Linked DNA regions of Caenorhabditis elegans. The protein of the gene in region 3 interacts with the protein of the main gene of each other region in a pairwise test. Each region holds a gene or a part of one and is shown on either strand. Other genes may lie near its edges. The genes, in order: piki-1, scrm-5 and R02F2.5.

Region 1 (3,757 bases), on a different chromosome or scaffold from region 3:
CAATCACACTTTTGGGCAAAAAAATACAACAGTCAATTTCGCTTGTTCATAGAAAGTGAGTACTTCCAAAGTGTTCTAGCTCCGCAGGCAGCTGAAAACTTTTCAATTAGAAAGTTATTAGGAATGAAGTGATTGACAAATTACATAGTGTATCTTTTTTCCATCTTGCATGGCTGAGCAGGTAGGAGCACCTAATTATGAGTCAAATATCACTAATTTTGACTGATGATATCTCCGTACTCTGCACAGAAAGCAATAAACTATTAAACATGAAACATGTTCCATAAGAACTTGAACAAGTTTGTAGTTGACAATTTTTTGATATCTTGCTTGCCCGATGTGGGACATGACTTCGAAAAACTGTCATAGTAGGTAGATCAGATAGAGGAATAGAGGTTTTTACAGTTTCTTAGTTTTCGAAAGCACCACATTTGGCAAGAAAGTACATAGATACAATTAGGGAAACATATTTTTACAATATCTGATAAATATTTGACAAATTATGAAAAAAAATTTGGATTTTTTTGAATAAAAAATCCAAAGGGTCCGCCCTTATGAAAAATTTCTAAAATTTTTTCGAAAATTTTTTTTTGAAAACTTTTCTTAATTTGTTCATATGTCATAGAAAAATGTAAATTTGATTGTTTTTTTTAGTTTCGATGTTCAGAGCACGATTTCAGACGAAAACCTGGGGTTCAGTAGAACCCCTAAGTTCAAAAAACGCATTTCCTTTGGATGTGTATATCTTTGTTGAAAAATTTTTTCTGACAAAGTGATTAACTACAAAGTTGTTCATCTTAATCTAAAGTACAACTTTGTAGTTGATGGTGTTTTTTCAAAAAATTTGATGGCCGAGATATGAACAGAAAAAGACGAAGAAAATACAGGCATGAAAGTGCCGCAATTAACACAACTTTATCTCGACCATCAAATTTTTTGAAGAAATATCATAAACTACAAAGTTGTACTTCAGATTAAAATAAAAAAAACGCAAAACCCGCAGACTTGCTCCAACAGCTCCAGTTCTCCAGCTCCAGTCCAACAGCTCCTGTAAACGGGCGATTTGTGGCAGATGGCCTCTTAGTGGCTCCAAATCGGAAGTTTTTAAATTGGGCGAAGAAGTACAATCATCAGCATCGAATGTTGCCTAAAGTAAAAACATACTCTGAAAATTGTCTCAAAGTTAAACAATGCAATTTTATTGACTTTTGAAATAGTTCTGAATCAAAATGCAAGAACTGATAAGAAAGTGTGCTAATCTTTAAGAAAAAGTCGTTGTCTTGTTTTTTCGTTTCTTAAGGGCATGCGCTGGTGATTGGAAATGCGCAATTAATAGTAGTAGTGACGGCTGGTAGGTGTACACTGCATATTCTTTTTCCCTGACAACCGGACTGATTCACAAAATTTAGTTGTCTTGAAAAAATTGCGAAAGTATTGACATGAAGTTTTTGGATACAAATATTCCCCAAAACAATCCAAAAACCAAGTGTTTACTTTCCCCTTCGGTATGTGTTTTTTCCCGAACCGTTTTGCCGGGAAGAAAAAAAACAAGAATGTTTGTGTGTGGATTTACGTTACGGTGTTTGCACACTGTTTGTCTGCGCAGACACACTATCGCCTCCTCCTCCTGCACCGTTTTTTTTGTGTTGCCCCGTTCGTCCTCGTCTTCTTTTTTGGTTAAACAGGTCACTTGTCTTTGTCTTTCTTCCTCTCTTTCTCTTGTTCTCCCTCTGCGTCCATATGGTGTTTTTTGTTCTCTAGTTAACCAATTGGATTGATTAATGCAAAGCTCAATATGCGTTTTTTTTGCTGAATAAGCTTATTTCGAAATTATTTTAAAATTTGAAAATATTAGGCTTGTTATTTGTGTAGTAGCTGTTTCAACCATCATATTTTTATTAACATTAATAGTGAACATGTGAATAATTTATTTATTATTTTTTTTAGCATTTTCAAATTCTAGTTATTCATAGATTTTTATTTTATCCAGTTAGAATAATTTTCAGCTCGCAAACTGGGCGTGAAGGAGGATTATGAGCGACGATGAAGAGCTCCAACTAGCCATCGAAATTTCAAAGTGAGTTGTGTAAAAAGACACCTGATGCCCATGGCCCGGGAGACCCTGAGCACTTTTTTCTCCTTTCTTCTTCTTTCTTCATGACGTCTCACAATTTCAGAAAAACGTTCAAAGACGAGCAGAAGCTGAGGTCGAACGACTTGGACTTGATCCGATTTGAGAGTCCTGATGAGCCAGCGCGCCAGCGGAAAATCAACCAGATAAAGCAGTTGTACGAGGCGAATAGTCCGGGACCTTCGTCCTATTCGGGGTGAGTCATTTGGTATTTCAATTTGAAAATAGAAAAATTATTGTGTCAATTGTGACTCATAAACCAAAAAAAATTGAATTCTAAATCTTGGAAAATATGTTTTATAAATCTATTTTTTGATGAAGAACAAGCACAACCGATTCTATACGGTACTGTTGAAATTAATTTTTAACAAATTACAGCTTGTCAAAAATCAAAAGCGATTAAATTGACACGGAATAAAAAGAGCTGACGATTTCCTAGCCGGCTCAAAATTAAATAGTTATCATTGCAGCTCACTTGCCACAAGCCCCATTGATTTCCGTCCAGTCTACAACGAGCCTCGTGCTGGACCGATTCCACACTCGCAATCATATCCGAGAAACTATTTCCAAGACTGGTCTGCAATAGCTTCCACGTCCCAGCCGCCGGCGTTTCCACCTCCACCGAGGCCTCCAAAACCAGAGCAGTATAAGTTTCCACCGGCTCCATCAGTTCCATGTAAGTTTTAATTTTTATATTAGAAGAGTATACATATAATTAGTACGTCCTAAAAGTATAATATCATATCAATAAATACATTTTCCAAAAGAACAAAAAAAATCCTGTTTAATTTTACAAGGCTATTTAGTGCTCCATGATCGCTACTTTGTCCCACCACCACCACCAGTGCCGCCAAGACATTCGAGAGTCCAACAGTCACCTCCAGTGCCGATACATCCCACACCTCCAGTCTCTTCCACACCGCTCAGACATTCAGCTCCATCGTTCGCGTCGGACAGTCAGCAGTTTCTGTCCCGTGAGTTTATTCAAACAATTTATTGTCTTTTTTTTGGTTGGTTTGAAAAATTGAAGGAGACACTTGACGAAAAAGGGTCAGATTGTTTTTCTTGTTTTCTTTTTTGGAATTATGCAAAAATGTAGAGAAATTCCTGCGGTGTCATGCACATTCTTGAAAATGAAAAACATATATATTTGCTAAATACATGTATTTCTGAATTTCAGCCATTAAGCCATTCGAAATAAGTTTCAACTCGACAGTCGACACATCGTCTAATCAAACTGGCAGTCATGATCATAGCATTCAGTATCAGCCGTTAACTCATCTCTACGTGCCATACGTAATGCATTCCCTCAACTCATCGTACGGAGCTCTTCTCAATGGTGACTTGATTGATTTGAGCGCTTTTGAGGATAGCTCAAATGCTTCACAAGACGAGGTAGGAAAATTAGGTTTAAAGCTAAAAATATTAGACTTTTGCAAAGAAGATAATTTTATTAGTATTCTAGTGTATGCTATCTACTGGGTGGTCCATATTTTTTGATTATAGACCACCCAGTATCAGACAGATACTTCATGCTTCTCAACTAATTTTGTATGTAAACGCCCAAACTTTTTTGTCAAAGTAAATTTGCCAAAAACACTCTATTAAAAACACTTTATTGTATTA
Region 2 (3,757 bases), on a different chromosome or scaffold from region 3:
ATCCGACGAGCTCGAACTGAAAGAAAAGGTTAATAGGATGTGTCTCAAGGAGGATGGGAGATTCAGGTGAAGAGCTAATAAAGCTTCAGCCTATAGGAACGATTGCTCTGATCAGGGGTGTGCGGCAAGTTTGGCGAATTTGGCGAATTTGCCGCGTTAAAAATTCAGTAGTTTTGGTGCTTCAAAAAACATCAAATTTTTCGGAGTTAGTTGAGCTCGGCAAATTTGCCGAGTTTGCCCTTGTACAAGGTGTCATGCTAGTCCCGATGTTGCCGTTCAGCGGTATATAGATATAGATCTATAGATCTACGTATAGTGCAATTGTATAGTGCAATTTATATCTGTAACTTGGTACATTGGTGACGTACGGTCCTTCCGCCTTGCTCTGTGTTTCTCTCTTTTAGTGTGTCAATGCCTAGCCGCTGGGCGGCAGAGCAAAGGCGTGAAACCTGTACGTCTATGTACCAAGTAATAGGCTTTCTAGATAAACATCTTAATACTGAAAGACATTTGGACAGTCTAGTAACCTATAGTCTATATCTATGTCAGTACAAACTTGGCACATTGCAACCTACAGTCCTTCCGCTTTGCTCTCTTTTGTGTATCAATGTCTTGCGGCTGGGCGGCAGAGCAAAGCGGAAAGACTCTAGGTTGCTATGTGCCAAGTTACAGATATATTATAGATCGGACTATAGATAGGGCATCAGGGGTGTGCGGCAAATTTGCCGTTTGCCGAGCACTGCAAGTTTCAAAATTTGCCGCACAGCCCTGGCTCTAAGCTCGATCAAGATTGATGCAAACTCAGATCAGCGAAAAGATCTCTTTTGAGAAAAATGTGATTTTTCCAAAGAATGCTTCAGGGCTCTGGATTACTGTAGTTTTACTTGATACTAGCACTCACATTAGGATTGCAGCACTCCTTCTTCATCATCCCAATCTGCTGATCGAGGAACTGGGTGCTCAGAAAATCATCGGTCGAGCAGCATGGTCTTCCTCTGAAGCACGTCATCACCTGAGCTCCGTGGGTATCCATGATCTGCATTCCGAAGTTACGATCGTTTCCTTCGTACTGACGAGCGAAGATGTTCGATCTTTCCATACAATAAAGCAGCGGGCGGCAGTACATGTCATGGACCACGTAGCGATTCGGAGTTTCGAATCCGGTGAAGATCTCGAGGGGTTTGATGCATTGGACAACCATCACAGAGTTGGTATGGGCAATGGCGCTGAGAATGTTGTTGGCGACAAGTTGGACGAAGCCCTGAAAAGTCAAAAGTTAAAACGATCACTATTAGCTAGAATGACTTACAGTCATCTGAACCGGCATCGCTGCTACCTGGTTCGGAATGACCATTGGCGTAGATCTTGCCTCTGGGAGTCTCTTTCCACCACCTCCACCTCCTCCGAATCCTGCAGCCTTGGCACGTGGCTCTCCTTTCTTCGAATCCTGCTCCGGCTCAACCTCCTCAGGTGACTTGGCCGCAGACGTCAAGCTAAGCGATCTCAATGGTTGCTGTCCCGGTTGTTTGTTCATTTTCTGAAAAAATTTTGCGGGTTTTTTGGGGAACACTGACAGATATAAGAAAACTCACATATCAGATCGTTGTTCACTAGTCGAAAATGAATGAATTTCAATCGAAGGGAGTATTGATTTTATTTGTTGTTTCGAAAATTGAATACGTGGGGAAAAGGGATAGGGCAGAAAGGGCAGAAAGTTCATATTCACGTTTGAACTTATCTAATTTATTTAAAAATTTATTTATTTACCCCGTGGCTCCAAATTTTCTAGAAACTATGAACAAAAACATCCCGCAGCTCTTCCAAAACTTTCTCGAATTCACCGATCTGAATTTTCGGTACTGAACAAAAACTAATAGATTTTCAATGGTTAAGCAGCCAAACTATATATTCGTTTTGTGGATCTTCAGTGAAACACTGAAGATGACTTTGCAGCATGAAACCTGAAACCAGTGGCTCCTGGCAACCAGCACAATAAATTTGGAGCTCGAAATCAGTACTTGAACAAGCAGTGATAACTTGTCAAGCGTTCGCTGAGTCTCAAAGTTATCAACTAGAAGAATGCACATCGACATGTAAATTCTTCCATACAGGATAGTGTGGCAGAATTTTAATTTCTGCAAAATTACTTTGAAACAAATTTTTATCAATCTCCCAGACTAAAAAACTTTTGAAGTGTTATCTGTTGAAATGTGTAAGCTATTGGAATGTTCAAATGTTTATTCAAATGAATTGCAAAACTTGGCATTTAGTCAGCATATGGTGGCCAGTAGTCAATATCGCTGAAAAAAGTTATTTTTCTGATGAACTAGCACTAACATTATCTTACATCGCAGCGTATTGTCTAATTTGGAGTTTGATTGGCGTATTGTCAGAATATGAGTACTCAAGTTTCATGTTGTAGATAGCAGCATCGAGGTTTCCATAGCCTGCTCGAATTGTGCTATTTTTCTGAAATAGCTAACGTATATTCCCTGTTAGTGAGGCATAGGATTACTGGAGCCTGCTCTCGAAATTTATTGTCTTATCAAACAGTTACTGAAGTTATAAAACGGCCACAGTCCCCAGCTTGGGTGTGGCTTAAATTACCGCCCAGTAGGATCACCACCAGGTATTACAAAAACAAACTTCGACCAGAAAACAAAAAAATTTTTGGTCGAACTTTGGACCAAAAAACAAGAAACAAAAAATCGAAATTTTCAAAAAAACCAACAAAAAAAAACTAAAAAAAACAAAAAACAAAAAAAATTTCACGGTTTGATATCAAACGGGACAAAACAGGAATTTTTCATGAAATATTAAAAATTGAACACACGAACGATTGAACAAGGTTTTTTGTTCTCATTTGTTTAATTTTTTGCTGAATCAGTGTTGCAATTTATTTTTTGGTTTTTTTGGTCTCAAAAAACCAAAAAAATCAGTGCACAACGCTTGAAAAACGGATCGACCTTTAATCCTTTAATCATTTAGTCTCTAATCGTGAGGTTATTACTTTCAAAGGTAGTAACCTCAAAAAACGGTATCGTATGAGTACATGTAGGAAACGTTACCTCATTGGATGGGGATCCTGGATATCCATAAAAACCACCATTGGTAGATGATGAAGCATTGTACCAAGAAAGGTAAAATGATTGGAATGTATCAATGGGACCTCAATTTGTAATATTAACAAGTTATGATAATCATATCAAAATTTGTACCATGGTTCTGTACAGTTACTGCAAAGTCGACCCCGGCAAAGAATGTCCCGTTGGGTTTAGTGTGGAACAGTGAAGGCAGTACAATGGAGCCTTTTCCGGACACTACAGGATTCACCGAATAAATGGCTACAGGCCAAAATAGCCCAAAAAAACGAATTTGAGACTGAAATTAATTAAGAGTGAGGAGCGACCTCTGAAATCTTACATCGTTGAATTGATCATCATTTCGAAAATCGGCTAGTCCATTTGTTTTAAATGAGAGGTCATAGAGGGTGAGTGGTTGGGATCCACCTGATGGAGTATTTGATGAAATTACATGAACCATTCCATGATGCGATCGAATTTTGGCTACTAGATTGGAAATATTATTCTCATTTGGGTTTCGTTTCGAGAGAATCACAACAACAGAACCGCAAAGAGAGAATGGTGAATTGTCATAAAATTTCTGAAAATGAAAATATTTTTCTACCAGCCGTTTGGAAACACAAAGCGCGCGCTCCGAGTGGCGTACGCTAAATTGTTTTAAAAATTTGTACAAT
Region 3 (3,204 bases):
ACAACTGAGGAACCAACGACAACTTGTGAGCCCGATGAACCAGAAGCTGAGGGAGCTGACAATAATCAAGAAGAAGAAGAAGAAAACAACGACGGGTTCCGAATGAGAGTTTAAGCTTCTTTCATGGTACCCTACCTTCTCCCACATTTAATACCGGATGAACTACTTGGATTGCTTACCGAACGGGTGTGCATACCGCTGCATTTATTTATTCATTTATATATATAGGTGTATGTGTATGTATTGGTGATATACCGAGATTTCTACGAATTGATGATATTCAATAAAAACTACAGTACAATTCTATCGTTTTTATCAACGTTTTTATCAGCGTTATTATCAACATTTTCAGGTCCATACACCATTTTGAGCCTACAAGCCTATCCGCCTATCTCACTCCCTCGTGCCTACCTGTGTTTGCCTTCGCGCCTTCCTTGTTAACCCCTATTTTCGTGAATGTTAGCTGTCTCAAATTGAACTTCATTCGTGCCTAAATAATAATAATAAAAATCTGGAAAAAAATAATTTAAAAAGTCGAAAAGTTTAACATTTACGTGTAAAACTTTCCAAAAATCAATTTCAAACTCAAAGAAATTCATTTCTGAAAGCCGTGAGAAAATGGGATGCTGCGGTTCAAAAAACAAGCAGAATAGTAGGAATTCAAATCGAAATGGACAACAAATGGTAGGTACTGTAGGATTACGCTCTGCAGAACCAAGTTTCGATTGGTTTACTGTAGTGGTACGGTAGCGGGTTTCATAGGTTTATTGCAAGATTACGGTAGCTCATCGTTGTAATTACAGTGTTACTGTAGTAATACTGTACTTGTACGCTTAAGCTTGCATCAGCTTTCGCTGCGAACTCTTTTGAAACCAAAGTACTACGTGTTGTTAGGGGTACGGTTGGCGCAGGTTTATTACCTGGTTACTGTAGAGTCACTATAGTTTTGCACACCTTTTACAATCTCGACAGCATTCATTTTTAGAGATTCCTCGTCTCAAAAACTATATTTTCAGAATCAAACCGGAACCCAATCAGGCCCCTATCCTGCCCAGAATCAACCTCAGAATAGGAATCAACCTCCACCTCCACCTCGACAGCAGCAGCAGCAACAAGCTCCACCTCCCAATGGACAGAAGCCTCCACAACCTCAACGTCAACAACCGTCTCCAGGTCTCCCGTACCAGCCACAACCGCCTCCTGCGTATGGGGCTCAACAGCCATACTATCCACCGCAACAGCAAGTCGTAGTGGCTGCTCCTCCGCCAGTGGTCATTGTGGATCCTTATCCATGTTATGGAGGTGGAATGTACTACGGTGATCCATTCTATTGTGATCCGTTTATGTTTTAATCGAGATGTCAAATGAAAAGTAAGAAGAAGATGAAGTGACTTGAAAATATTTCCGATAAGAAATAATTGATAATTGATCCTTTTTTTGCAATAAAAATAGTCTGAGATTGTTTTCTAAAAATTAGTTAATCGGTCCGAAACTGGCAAATTGATCCACCAAAATTTATCCACGGGAAGTGTCGACTGCTGGCATTAGAAAAAGGAAAGTGTCGGCCGCTTCCATTTCTGCGTGAACGCCTTGCAGTTATTTTTTTGGAAATGATTTATTTTTCAAATGTTCAAACTTGCCGCTAAAAAATTTTATTCCCAACTTACTTTATAATCAAAAGAACTCAAATATATCGATGAAAAATGGGATGCTGTCAATCGAAGAAAGCTAGAAATAATCAACGGAACAACCAACGCTCGGACCAAATGGTAAGTCTCCAAGTTTCATATGAGGTGACCGTGCCTGCCTATAATCCCTGTTCCGGGTTCCATAAAAAAAACTGAATAGACACAAGGCAGACGAAGGTCGCCTTGAAGTCAAGCTCAAGAACTCCTCCTTGTACCTCAACTTTTCAGAATCGTCAGCACACTCAACCATCTCCAAACGCCTCGACAGAGCAAATGGTAGGGAAAATCGATAATTTTCCGAAAATCAATAAAAGAAAATATCGATTTTTCAGGCATACCCTCGACAGCAGCCTCAAGGGATCCCACAGGGACCTCCACCGGCCTACGCACCTCCAGCAGCACCGAAAGCTCCTGAGAAAGTCGTGGAGCCCAAAAATAGGAGAGTAACGATTGCAGAACCACCGGAGAGAGTTGCGGAGCCATCACCAACGCCTGAAGATCCAGAGCTTTTTACTTGCATCGACCAAACGGAGAAAGAGGTTGAAAAGGAAGTGGAGAAGAGAAAGTCTGCTCCGCGAGCCCCAGTCCCGGCACCTACACCAGCTCCTCAGGCAGCTCCCCAGGCAACTCCGGCTGCACCTGCTCAAGCTTACCCTCAACAACAACAAGCTGCTCCCGTGGTCTATGGATCCCAACCAATGGTCATGGGTGCTGCTCCGGTGGCTCCAGTTGTCATGGCTCCGCCGCCAGTGATCATGAGCCCTTATCCATATTATGGAGGTGGTGTTATGTTCGACCCATATTATAATGGATTTTATGGAGGATATGGATACGGAGGTTTTGATTTCGGGTATGGAGGATATGGTGGTTATGGATGCGGATTCTATTGACTTTTTTGAACTCTTTTGTGTTTTTTTGGAATAAATTTTTTAATTGAACACTTAAAAATCAACAGAACAAGATGAACAATCAACAACATAAAAATGGATATTATAACAAAAAAAACAATTAATAAATTCGCTTCGAAGCCCTCGTGATCGTAGAAAGGAACTTCTTGTATCGGGTTCTCTCAACAACTGGAAGATTCGTGGCGAGCAACGCGGATGCATTTTTATCGGCCAGTGAATGTAGTTTTGACATGGCAAGTAGACTGTCTGATCCATAGAATACTGCGTCTCCAATGATTGATGCAGTCAGCTGAAGAATAAAAATTTAGACCGTTTTTGAGAATAATTGAAGGTTTTTTTAAAATTTCAATTTAGTCGTTTTTCTTGGTAACTTTTACCAAAACATACTCAACAAGCTCCCCCTAATTTCGAAAATTAATAAGTTGACAGAATTTTTAAAAAAAATCGAGTTCGAGAAGAAATAGTGATTATTACAGATTATTTAAAATTAAAATGTCTATTTTCTTCTTTAAAAAAAAGGGAAATTTCTCAAGAAATACTAGTTCTCATTTTTATCAATTTGACAATCCTGAAAAAAAAGATAAAACGTTTTAAAATGGGTTTTCAAA

What was found.
Region 1: the proteins of R02F2.5 (region 3) and piki-1 interact in a two-hybrid assay, tested with the Caenorhabditis elegans proteins (2 studies listed by BioGRID).
Region 2: the proteins of R02F2.5 (region 3) and scrm-5 interact in a two-hybrid assay, tested with the Caenorhabditis elegans proteins (2 studies listed by BioGRID).

What each region holds. Positions count from the first base shown.
Region 1 is NC_003284.9:15,244,642-15,248,398, reverse strand, and holds the start of piki-1 (Phosphatidylinositol 3-kinase piki-1), read left to right. Parts: upstream 1-1,999; 5' UTR 2,000-2,033; coding exon 2,034-2,077; intron 2,078-2,177; coding exon 2,178-2,327; intron 2,328-2,601; coding exon 2,602-2,807; intron 2,808-2,937; coding exon 2,938-3,105; intron 3,106-3,311; coding exon 3,312-3,526; intron 3,527-3,757. UniProt on the Caenorhabditis elegans protein: Phosphatidylinositol 3-kinase involved in clearance of apoptotic cell corpses by phagosomes.
Region 2 is NC_003282.8:4,160,299-4,164,055, reverse strand, and holds the start of scrm-5 (Phospholipid scramblase), read right to left. Parts: upstream 1,636-3,757; 5' UTR 1,593-1,635; intron 1,538-1,592; 5' UTR 1,535-1,537; coding exon 1,310-1,534; intron 1,262-1,309; coding exon 902-1,261; intron 17-901; coding exon 1-16.
Region 3 is NC_003281.10:5,477,701-5,480,904, forward strand, and holds R02F2.5 (Prion-like-(Q/N-rich)-domain-bearing protein), read left to right. Parts: upstream 1-1,617; 5' UTR 1,618-1,703; coding exon 1,704-1,769; intron 1,770-1,916; coding exon 1,917-1,964; intron 1,965-2,020; coding exon 2,021-2,578; 3' UTR 2,579-2,628; downstream 2,629-3,204. Other genes in the region: Protein lon-1, read left to right, coding at 1-114; R02F2.10 (Prion-like-(Q/N-rich)-domain-bearing protein), read left to right, coding at 619-684, 1,017-1,352; R02F2.6 (uncharacterized protein), read right to left, coding at 982-1,224; R02F2.7 (Myb-binding protein 1A-like protein), read right to left, coding at 2,697-2,885.